Tamandua tetradactyla: one gene and its partner. Each later gene encodes a partner of the first gene's protein in a complex. Links are inferred from orthologs where the notes say so. Each region holds a gene or a part of one and is shown in the gene's direction. Other genes may lie near its edges. The genes, in order: LRRK2 and RAB29.

Region 1 (11,609 bases):
TCTAGAAATGTAGAATATAGATAGTAATATAATTAATGCCCATATATTTAACAATAAGTTTAAGAAAAAATAATTACAGATTTAATTGTAGCCTCCCACGTACTCCTCCTGGATCCATACCTATTTTCTTCACTCCAGTGGTAACTGCTAGTCAGAATTTAGTATATATCATTCTCAGGCATATTTTATACTTTGCTGCATATGTGTATATCCATAAAGGATATGTAACTTTGCATGTTTTTTTATTGCATTAAATTATTGATATCATAGAATATATCCTACTATCTATCCTGCTACAACTTCCTTTCTCTCTCTTTTTTTTTTTCTCATGAGCAGGCACCAAGAATTGAACCTGGGTGTCCGGCATGGCAGGCAAGAATTCTACCACTGAGCCACTGTCACACCACCCCCTGCTACAATTCTTTTAAAGCCCAATATTATATTTTTGTTCATTAGCCATGTTGATACATGGACCTCTAGTTCAATTATTTTCACTCATTTATGCAAGTCCATTGTGTAAACATATGCAATGTGTTAATAGATATTTAAGTAGTTTTCATTTTCTCTAAAAGCAAAAATGCTGCACTGAACATTTTATACAAGTCTCCTTATGCACGTGTGAGAGTTTCTCCAGGGAGTATCATTGTAGCGAAGGTGCTGGGCCATAGCAAGCATACACCTTCAGCATTCCTAGCTTTTGCCGTATTACTCTCCAAAGTGACTATTATGACTTATATGCCCACCAGGATTGTAGAAGTACTCTAGTTGCTACACATCACATGCCAATAATTGGTATCAAACTTTAAAATTTTGGTTAAACTGAGAGATGTGAAATGACATCTCATTTTGGTTTAATTTGCATTTCCTTGATTACTTGTAGGGTTGAGAGATCTTTCCTTAGGTTTATTGGCCATTTCTTTCTTCTGCAAATTGCCTTTTATATCCATGCTTATTTTACAACAAAGCTATTTATCTTTTCCTTTATGATTTGTGATAGTTCTTTTTGTATATTCTTATTATTAATCTCTTCTTGGTTTCATACATTGCAAAAATCTTCTTACAGCTGATTATCCTTTAACTTTGCTGATGGGATTTTTTTATGTACCAGGTTTTAAATTTTAACGTAGCTGAATTTAACAGTTTTTTTCCTTTAGGGGTTGTGTTTTTTATGGCTCATATTTCCCTACCTTAAGATCATAAACATAGTTTCCTACATTTTTTCCCCAAACTTTTGAAGTTTCATTTTTCATATAAAAAAATCTTTAATCTACTTTATTTTGGGGTATTGCTTATGGGATTTTTTGGGTGCAATGCATGATTTTATGTTTTTCCATAACTAATTGTCCCAGAAACATTTATCAAATAATACCTTCTCTTTCCACTGATATGCAATATGTCTCTCAGATGCCATTTCTGTATACGTAAGGGTGTGTTTCTGGGTCCTCTATACTTTTTCACTGGTCGCTTTGGTAACTGTGCCAATAACATGCCAATTGATTTCTATAGCTTCGTAAGATGACAATGCATACTTCATATACTGTACAAGCTGTGCCCTACACATTTGCACAGTCTGAGAGAATAGGTGGAGTCTGAAATCCAAATCCTGTTTGGTTCACCCTGGCATGGGGCTGAGTCCGCCTGGAGGGAGGGGCCCATTTTTCTAACTCACAGGAAGACATTGTCTGCTGAACAAACTCTGAGCCTCTGGGTCTATGTACACTTCCTCCCCACAGGGGTGCTTTGTCCTACTCTGGTGAATTGATAAGATATAGGCAAGTAGAAGCAACTGTGGAATGTCTTTCTTTCTTCAATGTTTTATAAAACACTTATGCTTGCAACTTTTTTTTTTTCAGCTTGCCAATTGTTTTTTAATTTCATTTGTGGTTTTACTTTGACTGTAGAAAATTCAATTTTTTATGGAGACACATATTTCAATCTCCTGTGTTTCTTTCTTTATGTCTCCTCATACCAAGATTAAATAACTATTACTCTATATTTTCTTCCCAAAGCTATTTTCATTTAACTTTTAATCCATCTTTAATATGTTTTGATATTTTCTATAAATTAGCAGTGTCAGTTTTATTGTTTCTTCCCAAGAAGTTAAACAAATATTCTAGCACTGAATGCCACCTTTATCATGAATTTGTGCCTGCAGCAATTTTTTATTTTCAGTTTTGGTAATTTCTTGAAGAGTTGTTAAGTTTTGGGATTTTATTCGATCAATTAAGAATTTTTGAAAGCTAAGAGGACATTTTTTCCTACTATGGTAGGAGTTTATAGAAGGAAGCTCTCAACAGAAAATTAATGGCCCCATATTTTTCAGTTTGCTAAAGCTGCCAGAATGCAATATACCAGAAATGGGTTGGTTTTTACAATGAGGATTTATTAATTTACAAATTTACAGTTCTAAGTCTGTGAAATGTCCAAATTAAGGCAGCAATAGGATGACACCTTCTCTAAAGAAAGGCTGTTGGCATCTGGGATTCCTCTGTCTTATGAGAAAGAACATGCTGGTATCTGCTGGTTCTTTGTTCCCAGCTTATGTTGCTTCCAGCTTCTGGTCCCAGTGGCTTTTTCTTACAGGTCCTGTGGGTTCTTCTTGCTTCTCTGGGTGCTTCTCTCTCTCCAAATGTCTCTTATCCTCTCATAAAGGACTCTAGTAAAGGATTAAGACCCACCTTAAGTTGAGTGGGTCAAACCAAAAGTACCTTTCTTCACCTTTGGACACATTTTACTCTCACATCTACTTTTTCAGACTGAGCTGTCACTACTACTTAGGAATTGAAATCTTCATATAATCACTTTACACTGAAATTTGGTCATCTAAGTTTGTATGATATGAGGTGGGGATTTTAACTGGGGGTGGGGGGAGAAAAATTGTCATCCCTCTAAAATAACTATCATGGAAAAAAAGTAGGAACAACATGTAAAGGCAGCAGTCATGGTGGCCTTTAGGAAAAATGGAGCAGAGAAGCTCTGTGAGCAAAGCTCATTTATTTCAAATAAATGGATTTTTAAAAGTGGATTGACATCTGACATTAATATTTATTCTAACAAGTTACCTAACAACTGAAGTTATTGATTCCTATGTAGATTGTTATAATTATTGGATGCAAAGATAATAAATATTTCTGGCTTGGACTTTTGAAACAGTTTGCATATTGTAAGCACAGTTTCAATGAAACATACTTTGAAGCAAAAAAAAAAATTGGGTGGGTCATGCCTCAATTGAAATAACATATCAAAAGATTTCATTTACAATAGTTCTGCTGCCACAGGAATGGATTAAAAGAACATGGCCTTTTCAGGGTACATGACAGTTTCAAACCAGCATACTCTGCCTCTGGACCCTAAAAGGACATGTTCTTTCCATATGCAAAATACATTCATCCCATTACAATATCACAAAAACCTTAAATTATTTCAGTAACAATATTAAGTATAAAGTCTCATCAAAATCAGTTACAGGTGTGGCATATCCTAAGGCAAAATTCTCCTCTGGCTGTGGAACTTAGAACAAGTTATCTGCTTCCAATATACAGAGGAGAAACAGTCATAGGATAGATGTTCCCATTTCCATGGAGAGAGATTGGAAGGAAAATAGGCATCAAAGTTCTGAAACAGTTCTGAAAAACTGAAGGGCATACTTCATTAGATTTTAAGATCTGAGAGTCAGCTATAGAATGACATTTTGTCTTGAGGCTTGAGAGAGCAACAGTCCTACCCTTTCCATGGTCTTGCACAGTGCACAGCAGCCCTGCTTTCTCCAAACACTAGGCTGAGGGATCCAATATCTCCAAACATTGGGGAGACAGATATATTTTCCATTCCACCCTCTTCAAGCATCTGAGTGGCAGCTAGACTCTCTGTCATCTCTAGGCACAGGCTCACCCTTCTCTGAACAGTGGGGTTGTGGCCAGGGTCTCCCCAGTCCCTGGAGAATGTGCTCCACCTTCTCAGAGGGCTGAGGAGGCAACATTCTTCCTGAACAATAGGGCAGCCAAGCTCCCCTCAACTTCCCAGGCATCTGAGAGCCATGAGGTAATACTCTTCTTGTACAATGGGTGGGAGGCCCATTCTCTGCAAACTCTGGGACTCACCCATTCCACATGCATGGGTGGGTCCACTATCCTGGTCCAAGATTTCTTTGTACCAGATATCAGTTCCCATGGTTCTGCCTTTGAAGTAATTTTTCCTTCAATCTCTTCCTTTTCTATCTCCCTTTAGCCCACACTGGCAGTGGTTCTGTTCACACAGATCTTGCAAAAAATTTGTTGGCTTCACATGCAACACACAGGAGTCCTAACTGTCAGACAATAAGACTTTCCATAAATCATTTCTGAATAGCTGCATTTTCAATACAGGCTTGTCCTGAAACGGCTGGCTGTTTGCCTATTCGGTTAATCCTCATAAAACATACATAATCAGTAATTCACAATATCATCACTTAGTTGCATATTCATCATTTCTTAGAACAGTTGCATCGATTTAGAAAAAGAAATAAAAAGATAACAGAAAAAGAAATAAAATGATAACAGAGAAAAAAAAGTTATACATACCATACCCCTTACCCCTCGCTTTCATTGATCACTAGCATTTAAACTAAATTTATTTTAGCATTTGTTCCCCCTATTATTTATTTTTATTCCATATGTTCTACTCCTTTGTTGACAAGGTAGATAAAAGGAGCATCAGACACAAGGTTTTCACAATAACACAGTCACATTGTGACAGCTGTATCATTATTCAATCATCCTCAAGAAACATGGCTACTGGAACACAGCTCTACATTTTCAGGCAGTTCCCTCCAGCCTCTCCATAATATCTTGAATAACAAGATGACATCTACTTGATGCATAAGAGTAACCTCCAGGATAACCTCTCGACTCTGTTTGGAATCTCTCAGCCATTGACACTTTGTCTCATTTCCCTCTTCCCCCTTTTGGTTGAGAAGGTTTTCTCAATCCCTTGATGCTAAGTCTCAGCTCATTCTAGGGTTTTTCTCAATCCCTTGATGCTGAGTCTCCGTTCATTCCAAGATCTCTGTCCCAAGTTGCCAGGAAGGTCCACACCCCTGGGAGTTATGTCCCACGTAGAGAGGGGTAGGGTGGTGAGACTGCTCATTGCGTTGGCTGGAGAGAGGGGCCACATCTGAGCAAAAAAAGAGGCTCTCTTGGGGGTGACTCTTAGGCCTAAATTTTAAGTAGACTTGACCTATCCTTTGTGGGGTTAAGTTTCATATGAACAAACCCCAAGACTGGGGGCTCTGCCTATAGTTTTGGTTGTCCACACTGCTTGTGAGAATATCAAGAATTCAACTTGGGGAAGTTGAATTTCTCCCCATTCTCACCACTCCCCGAAGGGGGCTTTGCAGATACTTTTCCACTCACTGATTGAATCATTCTGGGATTCATCGGGGCATCACTCTGGACAAACCAGCAAAATCTCATGTCCTACCTGAGATTCCAAGTACTTATGGCATTCAATCAAACTATCTACATAAGTTATATTAGGAGATGCACTAGTCAAAATATAAATTTTGTAACAAACATTTTTTGCTTTAGTCTCACACAGAAGGTGACATTTTAAAATATTAATTACCATTTATTTTCAATACCCTGCAATAATGACATTCCTTTGTTCTTCCTCATGCAAAAACATTTTTAAAATTGTACCTTGTACATTTCACTATTAGCATACACTCTAGGCATTGCTAGAAAATCACCTACTCTTATTCTGGTTAATATAGAGTAGAAAATAAATAGATAACGGATGGATGAATATCAATTGAGGAAAAGAGGAAGTTCCTTTTCTATTTAAATTTACCTTCTCTTAGAAAGGAGCTGTACTTTCATTTCTTGTATGATAATAATCCAGTAGACTGAGAAGGGAAAACTGATGCAGAAGAAGGTGTAAGGAAGGTATGAAGGGAGAATTGATAGGAAAGTTTGATATCCATTATGTAGTCAGAAGTCAAAGAAGTTCAGAAGCCAGTTAATAAGAGATATATTGCAGATACGATAAAGATTACAAAGCAGAGATTTTTTTTTAAGTTTTCATTATGGAAATTGTCTTTATTATAAAAGGTAGAGAGAATAGTATGAGAACTCCCAAGAACCCATCTGCAACAATTTTTAATTCAAAGTTAATATTGTTTCATTTATACCTCCATGCACTTTATCTCTTCTCCCACTATTATATTACTTCGAAGTAAATATTAACCATTATATCATTTCAGTTGTAAATATTTTATCATGAATCTGTAAAAGATAGAAATCTCTTTATAACAATAATAAAACATTTATGAAACATACTCATACTATCATAATCATTAATACTGCCAATTTGCTACTTTACTCACATAATGATTACGGAATGCTATCTCATTTTGATTAAAGTAACAGATTGTGAAGAACCCTGAATTTGGTGTTAAGAGATTGACATGAGTTTAAATCCCAAATCTCAACTTGCAAATTGTGTGAATGGGGCAAATCTCCTCACCGAACATCTCCGAATATCAATTTTCTCATTAATAAAGAATGATAAGTAATAGCTGTCTTATCCATTTCACAGTTGTCATCAGCATAAACAAGTTAGGGGACATGAAAGGAATCTAAAATTGTGAAGTACTAACTTCCAGTCCAGTCTTTTCCTTTATGAATGACGCTGAGGATAGAACACCTGTGTCCAGCCGTCTACAGAGCTTTTTAAGTAGATTTCCTTTTGTGAACAACATATGACTTTGGTACATTTTTTTTTTAACTTTAGAGTTGTTAATGCCCATATTCTTAAGTCTGAACAGCAGAGCTGCAAAATTTAGTTTTTGTTCTTTCATCTTTTCTACAGGTCATTTCATTTACCTTGTCTTTCTCTTTACTCATAAAAGCACTGGTTGATTACTTGTTGGTGTGCCCCAATTATCAGGATCCGACCTAGGCAAACTCAAAAGTTAATTAATTTCAGAGCCGTTTTGGCCACCAGAACTTCAGATAACTAACAAGGAAGACACATTTTATTTCCTCCCCTACAAACAGGTAGAATTTAAGAGTCACATAAAACAATTTAGCCGGGCAAATTTTGATTGCTAAAACGTCGCTCCATCTGGGGGGGTGGGGGTGGGAATGACTCATCTCCCTCTAGGGGGAACCCTAAAGAGAATGCTTCCCTTAAAGGGCCAACTGGGCGGCGTCCTTTTTCTCCTACGCCCTGATTTCTATTCTTAGATTTGGAGTTAGGCGGCTTTCACTTTTGCTTTTCCTGGTTTCCAAACCTTCTTGGGGCTAAAGGAGTCCAGGTTGGCGGGTCCGGGAGGGTGGCGGGCTCCAGCAGCAGCCTGCGCGCCTCCTCCGCACCCGGCCGCGGGTACTCGGCGAAGTTCGCTGAGTCAGTTTGTTCCTGCGCGACTGCGGTAGTGGCGCCGCGGCTGAGGAATCCGGACAGACGAAACGGCGCCCGTCGCGGGTACCGTAGCGGAGCACGCGCGGGTCACGGTTCCCGTCGGCCCGGCCCGGCCCGGCTCACGCGGGTCGAGCCCAGCCTGGACCACCAGGCAGCGATTTTGCGCGGCGCGTCGCGTCGCCTCAGCCGAGCCTCCGGCAGGCCACAGCTCGTTTTTTTTTTTTTTTGGAGCGGGGGTTTGGAGGAAGCAGGGGAGGAGGGCTCGGGGAGAGGAAGGGGAGTGCAAGGCGGAGAGACGTCGCTTTCCTCATCAACAAGCGGGCGTGGGCAGATGGGGCCGGCGGGTAGTGCCGGCTGCGGGCGGTGAGTTGTGCTCGCCCCGGGGAGCAGTGGCCTGCGCCCGGAACCGCTCCCTGAGCAGCCCGGCATTCGTGCACGGAGGGGCGGCGGGTGTGGAGCGGGGTCCACCATGGCCAGTGGCAGCTGTCAGGGGTCCGAGGAGGAGGACGAGGAAACTCTGAAGAAGTTGATAGTTAGGCTGAAAAATGTCCAGGAAGGAAAACAGATAGAGACGCTCGTCCAAATCCTGGAGGATATGCTGGTGTTCACCTTCGCCGACCACGGTAATCATTTGCAAGGGACCTGTTCCTCACCCCCCCACCCCCACCCCCACCCCCGTCACACACGCACACATACACACACGCACACATTTGCAAACTTTATTCCCTGCTCTTTGGATCTCTACTCAGGCCACGACTTTTAAGAAGTGGCCAATTCCCTGTTCCTTTCCCTGAGACAGAGAAGGGAATTGGAAATTTCAGGAAAGTCTTGGGGCCTCTTTTGCTGTCCCCCACCCCCTTCAGATTTTAAAAGGGCTTCGTGAATCATAATTTTGCTTCTTTCCCCCCACCCGCTTCTTTTCCAGCCTCCAAATTATTTCAAGGCAAAAATGTCCATGTGCCTCTCTTGATTGTCTTGGACTCATACATGAGAGTCGCGAGTGTGCAGCAGGTAAAAGAGTTTTCTTTGTGTCCAGTTCCCCTTCTGCTTGGAAAGAGATGATTTTCTGTCATTACATACTCGGAGTTCTTGTTATTTCTGAGATTTGCCTTGGTCAACCGCTGACCGTGATTTGAAGATGGCAGCATTGCCCAATTATTATCAAATGCTAACTGTGGGTCTACTTTAAGAAGTAACTTTATAATACCAACCGACAGAATATGTACGGGAATTGACAGGAGTAATAATGGGTTGAGATCTAGTTTTGTTATCGCCTAGATGAGCTCATTAGTGTTCACATCAGATTAGTCTAAGAATCTTCCCAGAGCACAGTCTTGTCCTAGATATGACATCCCTGTTAATAGTTTGGAAAAGGGGTATAATTGACAGCAATAAAATGCAACTGAGGAACTCTCTTAGGTGTCAAGAGATTTTTTTTTTATTTGAAGACTGTTAGATTTGTGGTTTTGTTAGTAGTTTACCTTATCATATCTAAAGACAGTGCTTTGATTCCCTTATGTGTTTAAATTTATACTTTGTACTGTAGCAGTTTTCATGTAAAATGAGTTAACCTGAAACTTTTAGAATTCTTGTAATAGGAAACCTAGAGATTTGCTAAATAACTTGGATATATTAAATAGGGAGCTCTAAGATGACAATTAAGGATAATTTGCAGTCAAAACAGAATTACCGCATAACGTGATAACTTTTTTGAGTGCATTTTGAGATTTGGGAACTGAAATCAGTTTTGTTGTTCACATGTTAAATCCTGAAGAGAAAGAAAACAGAACTTTGGACTCCAAGGGGCAGTTAGAAAACCACTGTTTCTTAATGCTTATTTGAGAGGCTAGACATATGTAAGAATTATCTCTATTGCTAAATCTGTATCTTTACCTCTATGCCTATTTTTGTATCCATCTCTATAAAATCAGGGTGACCCAATATATCTAACTTCCTTTATATAAGAACATTTATATCTAGGATGAATCGTTACTTTTATTTTCCTTAAACTGTAAATTTTTTTCCATCTGACTATTAATTTTCAGGCTGCTATGAAACAAAACCAAGCAAAGATAGAGGCATGATAAAGCTGCTTGTTCTTTTTCAGTACTTGAAGTCTGAATTTTGCCCATGGAATATTTGTGTTGCTGCTTTTCACCCACATTTTCTCTTCTAACTTGCCTCTGCTTTGGTGTTCACAAGTGACTTCTAGCACTCTCCGTTTTCTGGATTTGTGCTTGTTTTAGTTCTCCCCGCCCCTCACCCTGCTCAGTCAACTTGGGAAAGTTGGACCCTGGGTGAGATTTGGTCTTCAGGGTCCTGAGGAGGCCATGCTAGAACTCAAGGGAACTCAAAACATACCAGTCACCTGGTTCTTATTCACGTCAGAAAACTTAAACCTGGTCCTCACTTCTCTGGAGTAGTTATGAATGTTACCCACTGTTCTTGTCTAGTGGGAACCAGAGGCAAAGTATGTTGGGAAATAAGGCATTGCCTTCTGAGTTGATAATGCAATGGCATAGAATTATTAATTACAGCACCATATATGCATATGTCTGCAAACATTATGTATGTTACATCATTTGATTCTCACTGGAGTCTCACTGTCACCTCAGAAATCTCACTGGATAATTTCCCCTCATGGTAATTCTGTGAGAGTAAGTAACTTATTTAGGACCACAGAGCTAGTGACAGAACCAGGGCATAAATGTGAGTCTTCTCACATCTTCAGAAATCTCTTTCCATTATACAGTCCACTGCTGTTGAATTTGCAGAGTTTTCATGCCCACGGTTTAATACTTCATTTAAAAGAAAATAGTTTTTTGTCTTTCAAATTTCTTCTATTGATAGGTTTAATTAGTACAGGTATCATCTAATGTTTTATATGTTGAATTAGCTGGACCTCCTAAATTAGAAGTTCTTAATTGATGAACTTAAGTTATAGTAAATGGACTCTTGATTACTCTTCAATAATAAATATTAAGGTTTGTTTCTGGAAGTTATGTAACATGATATTCTAGACTCTGAATTTTGTTCTTGAGGTCTTTTCATTATTTATAAATAATCTTCAATAAATGTCTATATTTAGAGGATTAGTAGTTAGGCTAGCTGCCTTGAAATTATCTTTTCCTGCCAATCATCTGATCATTTTAATTTATTCCCTGCACTCCTCAATTTTCATTACTTCTCTTTATCCACATAGTTTCAGGCTTTGAAAAAGAAGCAAAATAAATGAAAGTGACTAAAATTATATTTAACCACTAGAATATTTCCCATTGAGCACAAATTAAGGGCTTGAGTTTAAAGAATAATTATAATAAAATGAAACTACCAATTTAATTGTACTTTAATTATGCAGCATGGAAGCCTCTCCTTGAAAGATAAGCTCTTAATTGAACAGATTAATGAATCCATTGTTACTCTGATTTGCTGCCAGAGACTCTGTTTACTCATAAGAGTTTCACATAGTGACTGAAAACTCAAAAAAGCAATAACTGATGCTATTGCTTTACCGACCAAAAAAACAGGTGTTTTCTTTGAGTCAGTCATGCAGGTACAGAGATGAGTTCAGCATCCATGTGACCCATTCTCCTGTCCCCCCAAAGTTTTCAGACCCGGAAGTTGTTCAGAATGTTATTTTTCTTAAATATGTGGGAACGTTTCAATACATTTTATGAAACCACAGAAATAGCTGGTTTCTATGACAGCTGAATTGTCAGCTTAAGTGGAGGAGGATGTCCTACTTAAATATAAGGTAAAAATAACTCAAAAATTGCCTTTTCAAGCAATTTAAAATTATATAAAAGGAAGCAGTGACAGAGTAAAGCAATTCATGCTTAATATGGAAAAGATCCGGAAATAATATTGTGAAGAGATCTTGTATATCTTTTGTTTTTTTTATCTTTGTGAAATACCCCTTGTTTATTCCTGTAAACAAGGGCTCTAGGTACCTCTGTTCCTTACTGAATATACATAAATTCCTTACCATGCCATTCAACTCTCTTCATCTTTCAACTCCACTAGTAGTCGGTCTTATCTGGCAATATTTCGTACCCCTTACCCTTTAACACCTTTCTCCCTTCATAGCTCATGAGCTTTAGAAGATTCTATTTGCCTATTTTGTACAACCATATTTATAATTCTTTTGAAATTTATATGAAAAGTCCTATCTCTTCCATATAATATTCTTCTCTACATTATTGTACTTCACT
Region 2 (11,446 bases), on another chromosome or scaffold:
AATTGCATGTTATTATTGAAGAACTATGCCCCCACCTTTACCAAATGAATGGCCATTCCTTTTATAGAAATTCTATGACTTGGGGGCGCACTAGTAATTTGCTAATCTTCCCTCTTACATCTTCACTCCCCACATTTTCTGATTTGGGAAACTAAGGGTGGTTTCTTCCCCCACATGACCAGGGCTAAATCCAAAATTTTGTATTTGAATACCTGCTTTCAAAAAATAACAGAAAAATAAAAAAATTAAAGAAACAAACAACAACCACAAAATGAATCCCTATTTCCTTCTAAATATATTGATAGCTTATGTGAGATAATTGTAAGCTGGTAACATGGTTAAATAACCAAAAGTCAAAAAGATTGTAAATACTACAGGTGATCAATAAGGGAAATGGTCATCCATAAAGTGATACTTAAGTCAGGCCTTAAAGCAGCATTTCTCAAAGTGAAATCTGGCATAAAATTCACCTAGGTACTTGCCAAAAATGTGGATCCCCCTGGGACCTTACCACAGCCCTGTAAAATCAGAATGTCCATATATAGCCAATGCCCCAGGTGAGTCTTAAGCACTTAAAGTTTGAGAACTTAAAGTATGGTGTTTCAGTTTGCCTAAACTGGTAGAATATAATATACCAGAAATGGATTAGCTTTTACAAAGGGAATTTATTAAGTTACAAGTTACAATTCTAAGGCTGTGAAAAGGTCCAAATTAAGACACCAACAAGAGCATACCTTCTTGGAGGAAAGACAGCTGGCATTGGGGCTCTTCTGTCACACCGAAAGGCACATGGTTACATCTGCTGTCCTATCCTGCCTTCTGGTTTCAAATGGCTCTCTCAGCTCCCAGGGGGCCTTCTTCCTTCTCCCCAGGGCATTTTCTTTCTCTCTTAGCTTCTCTAAACTCTCAGTTATCATAAAGGACCTCAGCAAGTGGATTAAGACCAACTTTAAATGGGCAGTGTCACATCTCCATGGAAACAACTTAATCAAAAGTTCTCACCCCACAATAGGTCTGCACCACGAGATTGAATTAGACATGTGGTAAGATCAGATGGGTGCAAAGAAGCTTAAAAGGCATTCAGATAGGCACTCTGGACAAAGAACAAAAAAGCAAAAGTGAGATGGACTTTTCAAGGTATAGGAACCTCAAAAAGCAAATGGCAGAGTGGCATCTGCATCCTGTGACTCCTGGAGTTTGGGCCAGGAGCCGAGGGGAGCCGGAAAGTGAGGCACGCATTGCCGGGGCCCGAGCCGGAACACAGCATAGGCACCTGTGGAGCTGAGCTGTACTGCCCTTGTTGCTCAGGTGCTCATCCTGGTCCCCTGTGGTCACCACAGCTGCTGAGACTGGCATGTGCTGATATTACTGCATTTGCAGGGTTCAAGGAAACCTGGAGCCAGACCTTTATTTCTTGTCTACTACGTTCAGCACCATGGTTCTCAAAGCCAAACACCAGAGCACCCAAGAAGGTTTAACATGAATGGTCATGTATGGCATACTCTCTGTTAAGCAAGAGGCCACAGACTCAGGGGAACCTGCTGCCATCCCCTCCTACATGGGACATGACTCCCAGGGTGTGAATCTCCCTGGCAACGGGACAGAAATTCCAGGATGAGCTGGGACCTGGCATCAAGGGATTGAGAAAACCTTCTTGACCAAAAGGGGGAAGAGAGAAATGAGACAAAATAAAGTGTTAGTGGCTAAGAGATTTCAAACAGAGTCGAGAGGTTATCCTGGAGGTTATTCTTACGCATTGTATAGATAATGCATAAGTTTATGGTGTATTTTCAGTTTATGGTGTATTTGAGTGGCTAGGGGGAATTACCTGAAACTATAGAGCTGTGCTCCAATAGCCTTGTTTCTTGAAGGTGACTGTATGAAGATATAACATTTATAATGTGACTGTGTGTATTAGCTAGGGTTCTCTAAAGAAACAGAACCAGCAGGAACCTCTGCAAATATAAAATCTATAAAAGTGTCTCATGAAACTGTGGGGATGCAGAGTCCAAGGTCTGTAGGGTAGGCCACAAGCTGGCAGCTCCAATGAAGGTCCTCAATGAACTCTCAGGAGAGGCTAGCTGGCTGAAGCAGGAAGAGTGATCATCTCTTCTGAGTCCTCCTTAAAAGCATTCTGATTAGCTTAAGCGTCACTCATTGCAGAAGACACTCCCCTTAGCTAATTGCAAATGCTAAGGGAAAAAAAACACGTTAAAAGCCTTCTGGTGATTAGATTAAGCATCACTCATTGCAGAAGACACTCCCCTTAGCTGATTGCAAATGCTAAGAAAAAAAAAGAGGTCTGTGACCTCTTTTATTTTTCCAGTTAAGCATTTATTTTTGTTTTTGTTCTTTAAAAATTGTTTATTGACAAAACAACATACAAACATAAACATTCTTAACATACAAACATTCCATACATGGTGTACAATCAATGGCTCACAATATCATCACATAGTTGTACATTCATCACCATGATCATTTTTAGAACATTTGCATCACTCAGAAAAAGAAATAAAAAGAAAAAAGAAAAAAAACATACCCATACCATACCCCCCTACCCCTCCCTCTCATTGAGCACTAGTATTTCCATTTACCCAGTATATTTTAACTTTTGTTCCCCCTATTATTTGTTTACTTTTTTATCCATATTTTTTACTCATCTTCCCATATTCTAGATAAAGGGACCATCAGACACAAGGTTTTCACAAGCACACAGTGTCATGGTCAGGTTCATTTCTCAATTTCACCAGATAATGGTGCCCAGTTGTCTGGTCAAGCAAGCACTGGCCTAATCCTTACTACAAGGACGTTTCGTGGACTTAAATCATCGGTTAGTTGATTGCATCTATGGCTGATTTAATCTACAGTTAACAAAGGGGACTGTCTTCTGCAATGAGAAAATCCAATCAACTGGATGTAATCCAATCAGTTGAGACCTTTAAGGGAAAGCTGTCAATTTCAGCAGTCAGAAGACAGAAGTTTTATCTCTACTTCAGCTGGCCAGCCTCTCCTGGGAATTCATTGACCATTGTTGCCAATTCTTGGCCTACCCTATGGAATTTGGACTCGTGCATCCCCACAGTTGCATGAGACACTTTTATAAAATCTCATATTTACCGTTATCTCCTCTTGGTTCTGTTTCCCTAGAGACACCTGACTAATATACCATCTAATCACATTGAGCCGATAAAGCCCAACAAGTATGGAGTCATTTTCTTCACACTGTTACCAGATGAGTTCTTCCAGATATCAGAAGGCCTTTTGCACAGAATACAGTTGGAGCCATTGGACCTCACGGTGAATAAGCAGAGCTCACCACATGTGGCTGGGAGCTCCCTTCTCCCACTGAAATTCCCGTCATCATACAGGGGAGCCTCATCTGGGCTGAGCGTGCCCTCGTCTAGTCCAGTGATGAAGCAGTACTCACCGCCTCCACCTGGAGTGCAAGCCCTTTGGCGTGCCGCTGTCCATGCCATGGTGCTGGCTGCTGCCCTCTCCTGGTATGAAATATGAAGCCCAGTAACACTGCCGGTCATACAGCCTGTCATGGTGCAACCCATGTATTTACATACGCCACTCACCTACAGCAGCTGCTCATGGTCTGCTTGTCGGAGGAGATGGAGAATTTAAATAGTAGCATGTTAGTACCTATAATTGAATTGTACGAGAAGCCTACATTACAGAAAAATAAAAATAAAAATAGAACCTGGGATTGAACCATAGAGGAAAGATTATTATCCTGAAAATATGTCACCCCCTTTAATGAACTCAGTCCCCCACCCCCCAAGCATTGTTGCAAGAGAATCATCCTTCAGTCATTATACAGCCTGGGAGGAGAACTTTACCTGTGGAATCTACAGATACCCAAAGGAAATGGAGGACATACAGATGTGATTATGATGTATGCAACAAAGCCTACATTAAAAGGTCTAAATTGAAAGTACACAGAAGATTATATACAGGAAAAAAAAACCTACAAATGTACATAGGAAGGATGTACATGGAAGGTTGCACGGTCTGATGAACTGACAAGACATTTCCAAAAACATACTGGAATCAAACCTTTGCAGTGTCCAGACTGTCGCCGTAGCTTCTCTTGATCTGACCATCTTGCCCTACACAGGAAACACCACATACTAACTTGAATGCCACCGTCTCCCACCACAGTATGACTCCCCACTCCTGGCTCTCTCTCTGTCCTCCCTCCAGGCATCAAGCTCATTTTTAAAAATTTATATTGTACATTTTATTTTTGGCATTTTGAATAAAATATTATCATTGTTTAAAATATATATATAGGGACCTCACCTTGTTGGCGGGAGGAAATGCCCATTTGAAATCAGTTGAGATGAAGTTAGTTAGATATAGGAGGCCACTGCATAGGAGGTGGCTCAGAAAGGTTGGCCAGTTTTTTGAAGACAGATGGTAGACCTTGAAGGAACAAACAATGCTGTTTCAGGAAAATCATCCTGGCAAGTGGTATAGAATGAACTGAAGAAAAACTTGAGTCAGGGAGACCAATGAACAGAATACTGAAGTAATCCAAAGCGGCACTAAAGCGGCACTGGGTATGGAGTAGAGAGGATGAATGGGAGAAACAGTTTTGAAGGAAGAACAGGTAGGATATGTTGGTTGATTTTAAAAGGGAACATGTGTAAAGGGACATGTGTAAAAGGAAATGTTAATACGCTTGAGGTTTGAAGCCTGAGTGAAGGGAAGAAATGATGAGGTCTGTAACCAAAATAGGGAAGTTGATAAAAGGAGCAGTTTTTGTGCTCAAGATGTAGTGAGAGGGAGGCTATGGCAGGTCCTCCAAGCGGAGAGGCCTTCTTGGCAGTTGGGCATAATTAATTAGAGATAAAGACATAAACAAAGTCAAGACAAGGGCATTTCACTAAAGTAAAAAGTTTTTAGAACAGGTTCAAGGACCAAGAATCAAGCTTTCACCTAAGGAAAGATGGGAGGGTGAGAAAAAACATGAAAGTGAAAGGTGAACATCAGGGAGGAGGAAGGATGACTACGAAACAACAGTGTCACAGAAGCCAAGCGAAAAATCGATTTTAAGGAATGAGTGGTCACAGCAAATAAAAAAGAGAGCAAAGGCCATTGGAAAGAGGCCTGAGACATCTTTAAAGATAAAGTAACCTAGCCTGACCTTATGTATCTGAAGGAACAAACATTTTGGGTTAAATAAGGGGTGAACCAGGCTGATGTTCTTTCCTTGCAGAAGGTAAGTGGTGGCCACTCTACCAAGAGACCTAAGCAGGATTTCGTGATGTAAGGCCCCTGGGCCGTTTTCCCATTGTCCTGCTGCTTCCACTTCTATTCCTGGAAAAAGCATAGAAAATGCAGCTCATTTTGCTTACCATGAAGCTCATGTCCTCTTACCTCCTGCCTAAAGGATAGGCAAGTCAGAAAACGTACAGCTTGAAAATGAAAACTATTTGCAAAACTGTAGTTTAATAGCGATTCATGAGCACATTAGTAAAAAATGGAGCAGGACTCCCAGTGTGCTCCAATTAGCTTTCAGCTCAAATGATATATTCCAGCTCAAATGATATATGTGATATGAGTACTACAGCTAGAATAGTGATTGTGGAAGTGAAAATGAAGAAGTTTCTTGGGGTTTTTTGTCTGTATTTTTGCTGTGGCTAGCTATTAAATGCTACAGCTTTGGGCATTGGATTTTTCTAAGGGTGGGTGTCTTCTCTGAAACTGCCCGGTATTAGGTCATATGGAAACTATGAAATCTAGTCTTCATATTAATACGGTCCTGAGCTTGCTTGTCTATTTGAAGGAATAAGAAATGGACTTCACTCGGAGCATGAGGGATAAAAGGTGAACTTTTATTAGTGGAATAATTCATGGAATTTTTAGAATAAATTTTAAGCTATGTTCCTTAAAGCCTTTCAAAATATGAGAACCATCTCCGGGCAGAATTTAGGCAAGTGAGATCACGTCGAGCAAACAGCCGTGGAAGGATCTTTTCATCCAGAATTAATTTCAAATAAGGTTTCAAGAGGGGATGAGTGATTCTGGGGTTTGTAAGCCACGAAACTTTTCGCAGGCTTTTAAAAACATGAATGGGGCAGAAACTACATTTCCCAGGAGGCTTTGCGGACGAGCGTCCGCACTCAGATAGTTCTCTTCCCGCGAGGTGAGGTGGGAAATGTAGTGCTGCAAGCGACCCTGCACGTGACGCGTGTGCGGAGGGAGGTGGAAAGTATCGTCGTTCCGGGCGGGCCAGGGTCTCGGAGTCGGCGTGTGGGGTGCTCCTTCTCCCGGCTTTTAGTTTATGCACCGAGAGGAGGGCCCCCGTTTTCTGGCCTCAGCCGTGGAATGAGCTGGCTTGTTGCTCTGGGAAGTGCCTGTGGCTGAGGCACCGCGGTGCCCCGTCCATTTCTTGGCAGCCGGGCCGGAGGGGAGAAGGTGCGAACCCGGGGCTCGGAGCCGGCGCCTGCGCCCCACCCAAGTTGCGGCCGCGCGGGGAGGAAGCGCGTATAGGTTGAGTGCCAAGTTTCCTTTTTTTTGCTTTCTCGTCAGAGCAGTCCCAACGGGCGATGGGCGAGAATGCCCGACTTCAGTTTGAAGAGGGTCCGAAGAGAAAGGTGTTAAAACAAACGACTCCCCAACTTCGCGCTTCCCTAAAACGCACACCCCGCTAGCCCGTCATGGGCAGCCGAGACCACCTGTTCAAAGTGCTGGTGGTGGGGGACGCCGCAGTGGGGAAGACGTCGCTGGTCCAGCGATATTCCCAGGACACTTTCAGCAAACACTACAAGTCCACGGTGGGAGGTGAGAGCTCGATGAGGGAAAGAGGGCTAGAGTGAGCGGGGTAGGAGCGGTGGGTGGTGAGTGGCGTCTTTGTGCCCTTCCTCTGGAAGGGTCAGGAAATACGTGTCCTAGATCCTGCAGGAAGTAATTGCTAGATGTTTGATTTGCTTGCTTCATTAAGATTTCCCAGTTAGGTTTTTCCAGCCTGGGCCCGCTGCCCGGAAAGAGACAGACAAGGGGAAGGTGTGAAATTGAGAAATGGGGAAGGGAGGATGCCACTGTGAGCAATTCCTGCGTTTTGCGGGCGAGCCGTGAACTCGAGTCTTCTCCTGCAGGCTTTGAAGCTATGACGGAAAAATCATAGTAAGCAACAGAGGCAGCCGAGACCCTGGGCCTAATTGGGCGCCAGCTGGGACTGTTGTCCTACCTACCATGGGAATTCCCGCCACCTGTTGAAGAAGGAACAGAAAGGTGTTTAACCTGTCCTTGAGGGGAGAACCTAGGACACTAATCTGATCTGACCCTCTGTAATGGAATGCCTAGGCAGGGGCCGAGACCCAGAATCTCTGATGGAGAGCCCCTGGGCGGCAGAATCAGATGCTTGCCAGCCTGAGCTGCCTGTTTGCGGTCCATTTATTGCTTACATTTATTGCTTAGAGACAACCTAGGAATTTTTTGAAGAATGCAAAATATGCCACTTCTCTGACCTATCTTCCCACCCCTTTCCCCTGAAAGGAAGGAAGGGGACACCAAGAGTTAATTCATTCTTTCCTAGGTGAGGCTTTGAACTCAACTGTTTTTTTTTTTCAGAGGTAGAGATGCCTTTTCCTTAATTAAAAGTGTTTAGCTGAAAAGAGATGCTGAAGGGGCAGAATAGTTTAAGCATTTATCTCTGTTAAAAGAACTTTTGTAGAGGAAAAAAAAAGTGTACTAATCTGAATGTTCATATGGAATTAAAATTTTTTCCCAAGCATTTACATTGCAATTAAAACATCCCTCTTTCCCTGGAAGAACATCTAGTAAAATAAAAAGTTTAAAATCTCAAAGAAAATTTCCTAACCACTCTTTGCTTCCCCTTCTAAATAATACGAGTTTCCCTATCTCATGAATTTAGGTTAAAAAGGTCCTACTAATTAACTTTTAGCAGTTGCTCTAGCTTGCATTTAGTAAAGAATATAATTGACTCCACTTTTTTCCCATTGCTTATTCTAAATTTCCTGTAACTTTTATTTCTATCACAGATGTGGAAAAATATATGTCCAAATCTCAGAAAATATCTTACTTCTCTCCTTGTCAGAAAGCTTTCCCCCCTGGATTGCTTATTCAGTCTTAGCTCATGGACTCTTCACCTCTAATGAAGATTGTACAGATATGGTAACAGATTTCAGCACAGCTCGTAAGCAGTATCCATACAGTGGTTTTTCTGGTTTTTTGCTTTTTGCCCCTGAGAATCCTGTCTGGAATAATTCCTACAGACTTATGGAGGATGTAGAATCCCCCAGGTGTGTTTTTCTCATAATAGAGTTGGAGTAGAAAACAACAGTGAAATTGAATGTGGAAGATGCTGCAGTGTCCACACTTACATCATTTTCCCCTCCCTTCCCATCAACCCTTCCATATTTAAAAGAAACTAAATTTCCCAGAAATTGTTTAACCTGAGATTAGGAGTTGTTTACATGATTACTACCACACCCCTGTACCCAGCCTTTGAGACAAGTAGTATCAAATAAATTGGTTTGACAGGAGAGTAAAAGCTGGAGACCCCTTTGGAGAGTGAATAGGAATTATCTGTCCCACTTAATGCCTGAGTGTGGGCTCTCCTTGACCTATTGAGGACTCAGAAATAAATGAGATTGCAGTTGTGTGTCCCTGGGCTTGTAACCGCATATTCCCTGGGTTTTTCCATGGCTTTATTAAAAGTAAATGTTATTAAAGCATAATACATATATATTTTCAGTGGATTTTGCTCTGAAGGTTCTCCAGTGGTCTGACTCGGAGATGGTGCGACTCCAGCTGTGGGATATTGCAGGTGAGCTGGAACAGCTAAATAGGAACAAGGAAAGAAATTTAGTTTACCCAGCAAGCTTGCAGAGAAAAAGTGGAGCAGCAAAGCCTGACTTTTTTTTTTTTTCTGAAACTGGAACGATTGAGTTGCTTTCAGGATACATAAGCTGAAAGTTTTGCCCCTGAACAGAGGTAGAGCATTCTGTGTGTGGCTGGAGCGGTTGGCTAGTAAGGTGGGTGGATTGTCCAGACCACAGGAAATGCTTTCACTGCAGGATAAGGGTACTTTTTCTAAGTTTTCAGCTGACCTTGGTGAGAAACAAGATACCTAGAAAATAGGGACAGTAATAATAGCTAACACTTATATACTAAGAACTCTTCTAAGTATTTTATATTCACTGACTCCTTAATCCTCATAATAACCCTATAAAGGAGCAACTACTTTTATCCCTACTTTATAGATAAGAAATGTGAACACTGAGAGCTTACTTTCCCCAGAGTCACATAGATGGTAAGTAGTAGAGTGGGGATCTGGACTCTTAACCATGATGCATACTATCCCATACCACAATGAAGGTAGAGAAGACAGGTGTCAGAGAAGGAACTGAGACTGGCTCTCAGGATCACCTCCTCCGGAGCCCTCTCCTCTCCCTGAACAGGACAGGAGCGCTTCACCTCCATGACCCGGCTATACTATCGAGATGCCTCTGCCTGTGTTATTATGTTTGATGTTACCAGTGCCACTAGCTTCAGCAATAGCCAGAGATGGAAACAGGACTTGGACAGCAAGCTCACACTGCCCAGTGGAGAGCCCGTGCCCTGCCTACTCTTGGCCAACAAGGTATGTGGTCAGCTTAGGAAAATGGCCCCTGACCTTCATCTGTGGTCAGAGAGTAAATGTATTTAAAATGCTCTCTGGTTCTGGATGCCAATTTCCCCTTCTGAAGTTGACAGAATCATCCCTTTCGCTTTTTGAGGGATGTTAAGGATGGGACTATTTTTGGAAAGAATGTCCACTGTAGATTTTAGATGCTGGTGTTCTTAGCCATTGGTCGTGGAATGTTTTAAAGTCGCAGGTATTTGAGCAATGTTCTTATTCCCAGGAAGTTTATGGGGTTGCCTTTTATTTATTCTCTCTGCTAGTGTGATCTGTCCCCTTGGGCAGTGAGCCGGGACCAGATTGACCGGTTCAGTAAAGAAAATGGTTTCATAGGTTGGACGGAAACATCAGTCAAGGAGAATAAAAATGTTAACGAGGCCATGAGGTGAGTAGTTCATGCTGTTCTGGGCATAGGCATGTGGGCTTATGCACCTTCCATGCCAATCCCATGGACCCTTTTTGTTGGTTGGTTTGTTTCTGAGAAAACGAGAACAGATCAAGCCATTGGAGTGCCAGCTTCTGAAGGTCAGGGATGCTGTCTTCCCTCTTGAGATAACTGGTGACTAAGGGACGCTTAAACCTGTTACTTTTCTGAATGTTGTCTGTGATAAGATGGACAGGGTCTGCCATTTCTCCCTTTTCTCCAGCCAGCTTCTCAGATGTATTTTTTGTTTACTTTTTAGAGTTCTCATTGAAAAGATGATGAGCAATTCCAGAGAAGACATCATGTCTTTGTCTACTCAAGGGAACTATATCAACCTGCAAACCAAGTCCTCCTCCAGCTGGACCTGCTGCTAGTAGTTAGTTTGACTTCTTGTTTTTCATTCCAGTTCTAGGAATCCCTTCTATCTCTTGCCTTTGGTTGCCCATCCGAAGTTTTATTAAGTCCTTTTGAACTGTCTCCTGATTATCCGGTAAAGAGACCCATCAACATTCAGAAGAGACACCTGGGACCCATGTGCATTTCTGCATCTCTTGGATGTTTGCTCTGACCTGACTTTGGTTGATGTGGCCAGTTAGTGCCTTCTGTATAAGGAGGATTATCTCATCCCTCAATTTGTTATCTGGAGTTTTGGTGGAAGGAGTAGATTTAAATTATGACTTTAAAAAATCATATTTTTCAGTTACTTTTGAATTTATTTTTCCATTTGATAGATATTAATATTATGATTAAGATTGAGAGGAAAACAAAATCAAATATCATTTCCCAAATTCCTCGTAACTCATTGCTTTCAGAGGCTTTCTCTCTTGGACTTTGATTTGAACATATGATTCGGGGTTGCAGAGGAGGGGAGCTGGACATCAATGGGTTTTGGGCTACTGTAGGTGACCCAAAAGTCACTATTTTCGAAGCTTCTAAAGTCATAATTAGCTTTCTCTTGTTTGGCTCTAAGAATAGTCATGCTTTTAAGTTACCTGTCTTGTGTGATGAGAGCATTTCTCTCCACATCATGGTTTCTAGTATCTAGTGTGAGGGCAAGGTTTGCAGGTTTCTGGGTTGATGTGCCTGATTCATAGTGCTACAAGTGATATAACTTGGCTATGGTGCCCTGAAATAGATCTTTCCTGGCACCTCTTGGAATCTGAATGGAAGAAGAAGTTAACAGAACTAATTCGTGTGGGATCACTTTGGGTGGCTAGCACTTAACCGCTATGGAAAAAATATATTATCTATAGGAACTGGCCTGGGGATGGAGAATGGATAGACAGAAAATCATTAGGTAATTTAAGTGCTAAATTGGGTAGGGTTTTTAGTACCAAATCACTTTTAGACACTTTAATTTG

What was found.
Region 2: the proteins of LRRK2 (region 1) and RAB29 are in contact, whole or in part, in a cryo-EM structure (PDB 8FO2), measured with the Homo sapiens proteins. The link is inferred for Tamandua tetradactyla from reciprocal best matches to the Homo sapiens genes LRRK2 and RAB29. Residues at the interface, in NP_940980.4 of Homo sapiens: Arg361, Lys362, Arg399, Met402, Leu403, Leu406, Met407, His408, Leu437, Ser438, Lys439, Gly440, His442, Leu443, Asn444, Glu447; in NP_001129134.1 of Homo sapiens: Leu7, Val42, Asp43, Phe44, Ala45, Leu46, Arg58, Gln60, Trp62, Leu76, Tyr77.

The regions. Positions count from the first base shown.
Region 1 is NC_135333.1:99,676,589-99,688,197, forward strand, and holds the start of LRRK2 (leucine-rich repeat serine/threonine-protein kinase 2), read left to right. Parts: upstream 1-7,158; 5' UTR 7,159-7,867; coding exon 7,868-8,021; intron 8,022-8,323; coding exon 8,324-8,409; intron 8,410-11,609. UniProt on the Homo sapiens protein: Serine/threonine-protein kinase which phosphorylates a broad range of proteins involved in multiple processes such as neuronal plasticity, innate immunity, autophagy, and vesicle trafficking.
Region 2 is NC_135330.1:63,501,303-63,512,748, reverse strand, and holds the start of RAB29 (ras-related protein Rab-7L1), read left to right. Parts: upstream 1-6,176; 5' UTR 6,177-6,432; intron 6,433-6,546; exon of another isoform or gene 6,547-6,551; 5' UTR 6,552-6,674; coding exon 6,675-6,798; intron 6,799-8,734; coding exon 8,735-8,806; intron 8,807-9,440; coding exon 9,441-9,622; intron 9,623-9,924; coding exon 9,925-10,046; intron 10,047-10,344; coding exon 10,345-10,459; 3' UTR 10,460-11,446. UniProt on the Homo sapiens protein: The small GTPases Rab are key regulators in vesicle trafficking. Essential for maintaining the integrity of the endosome-trans-Golgi network structure.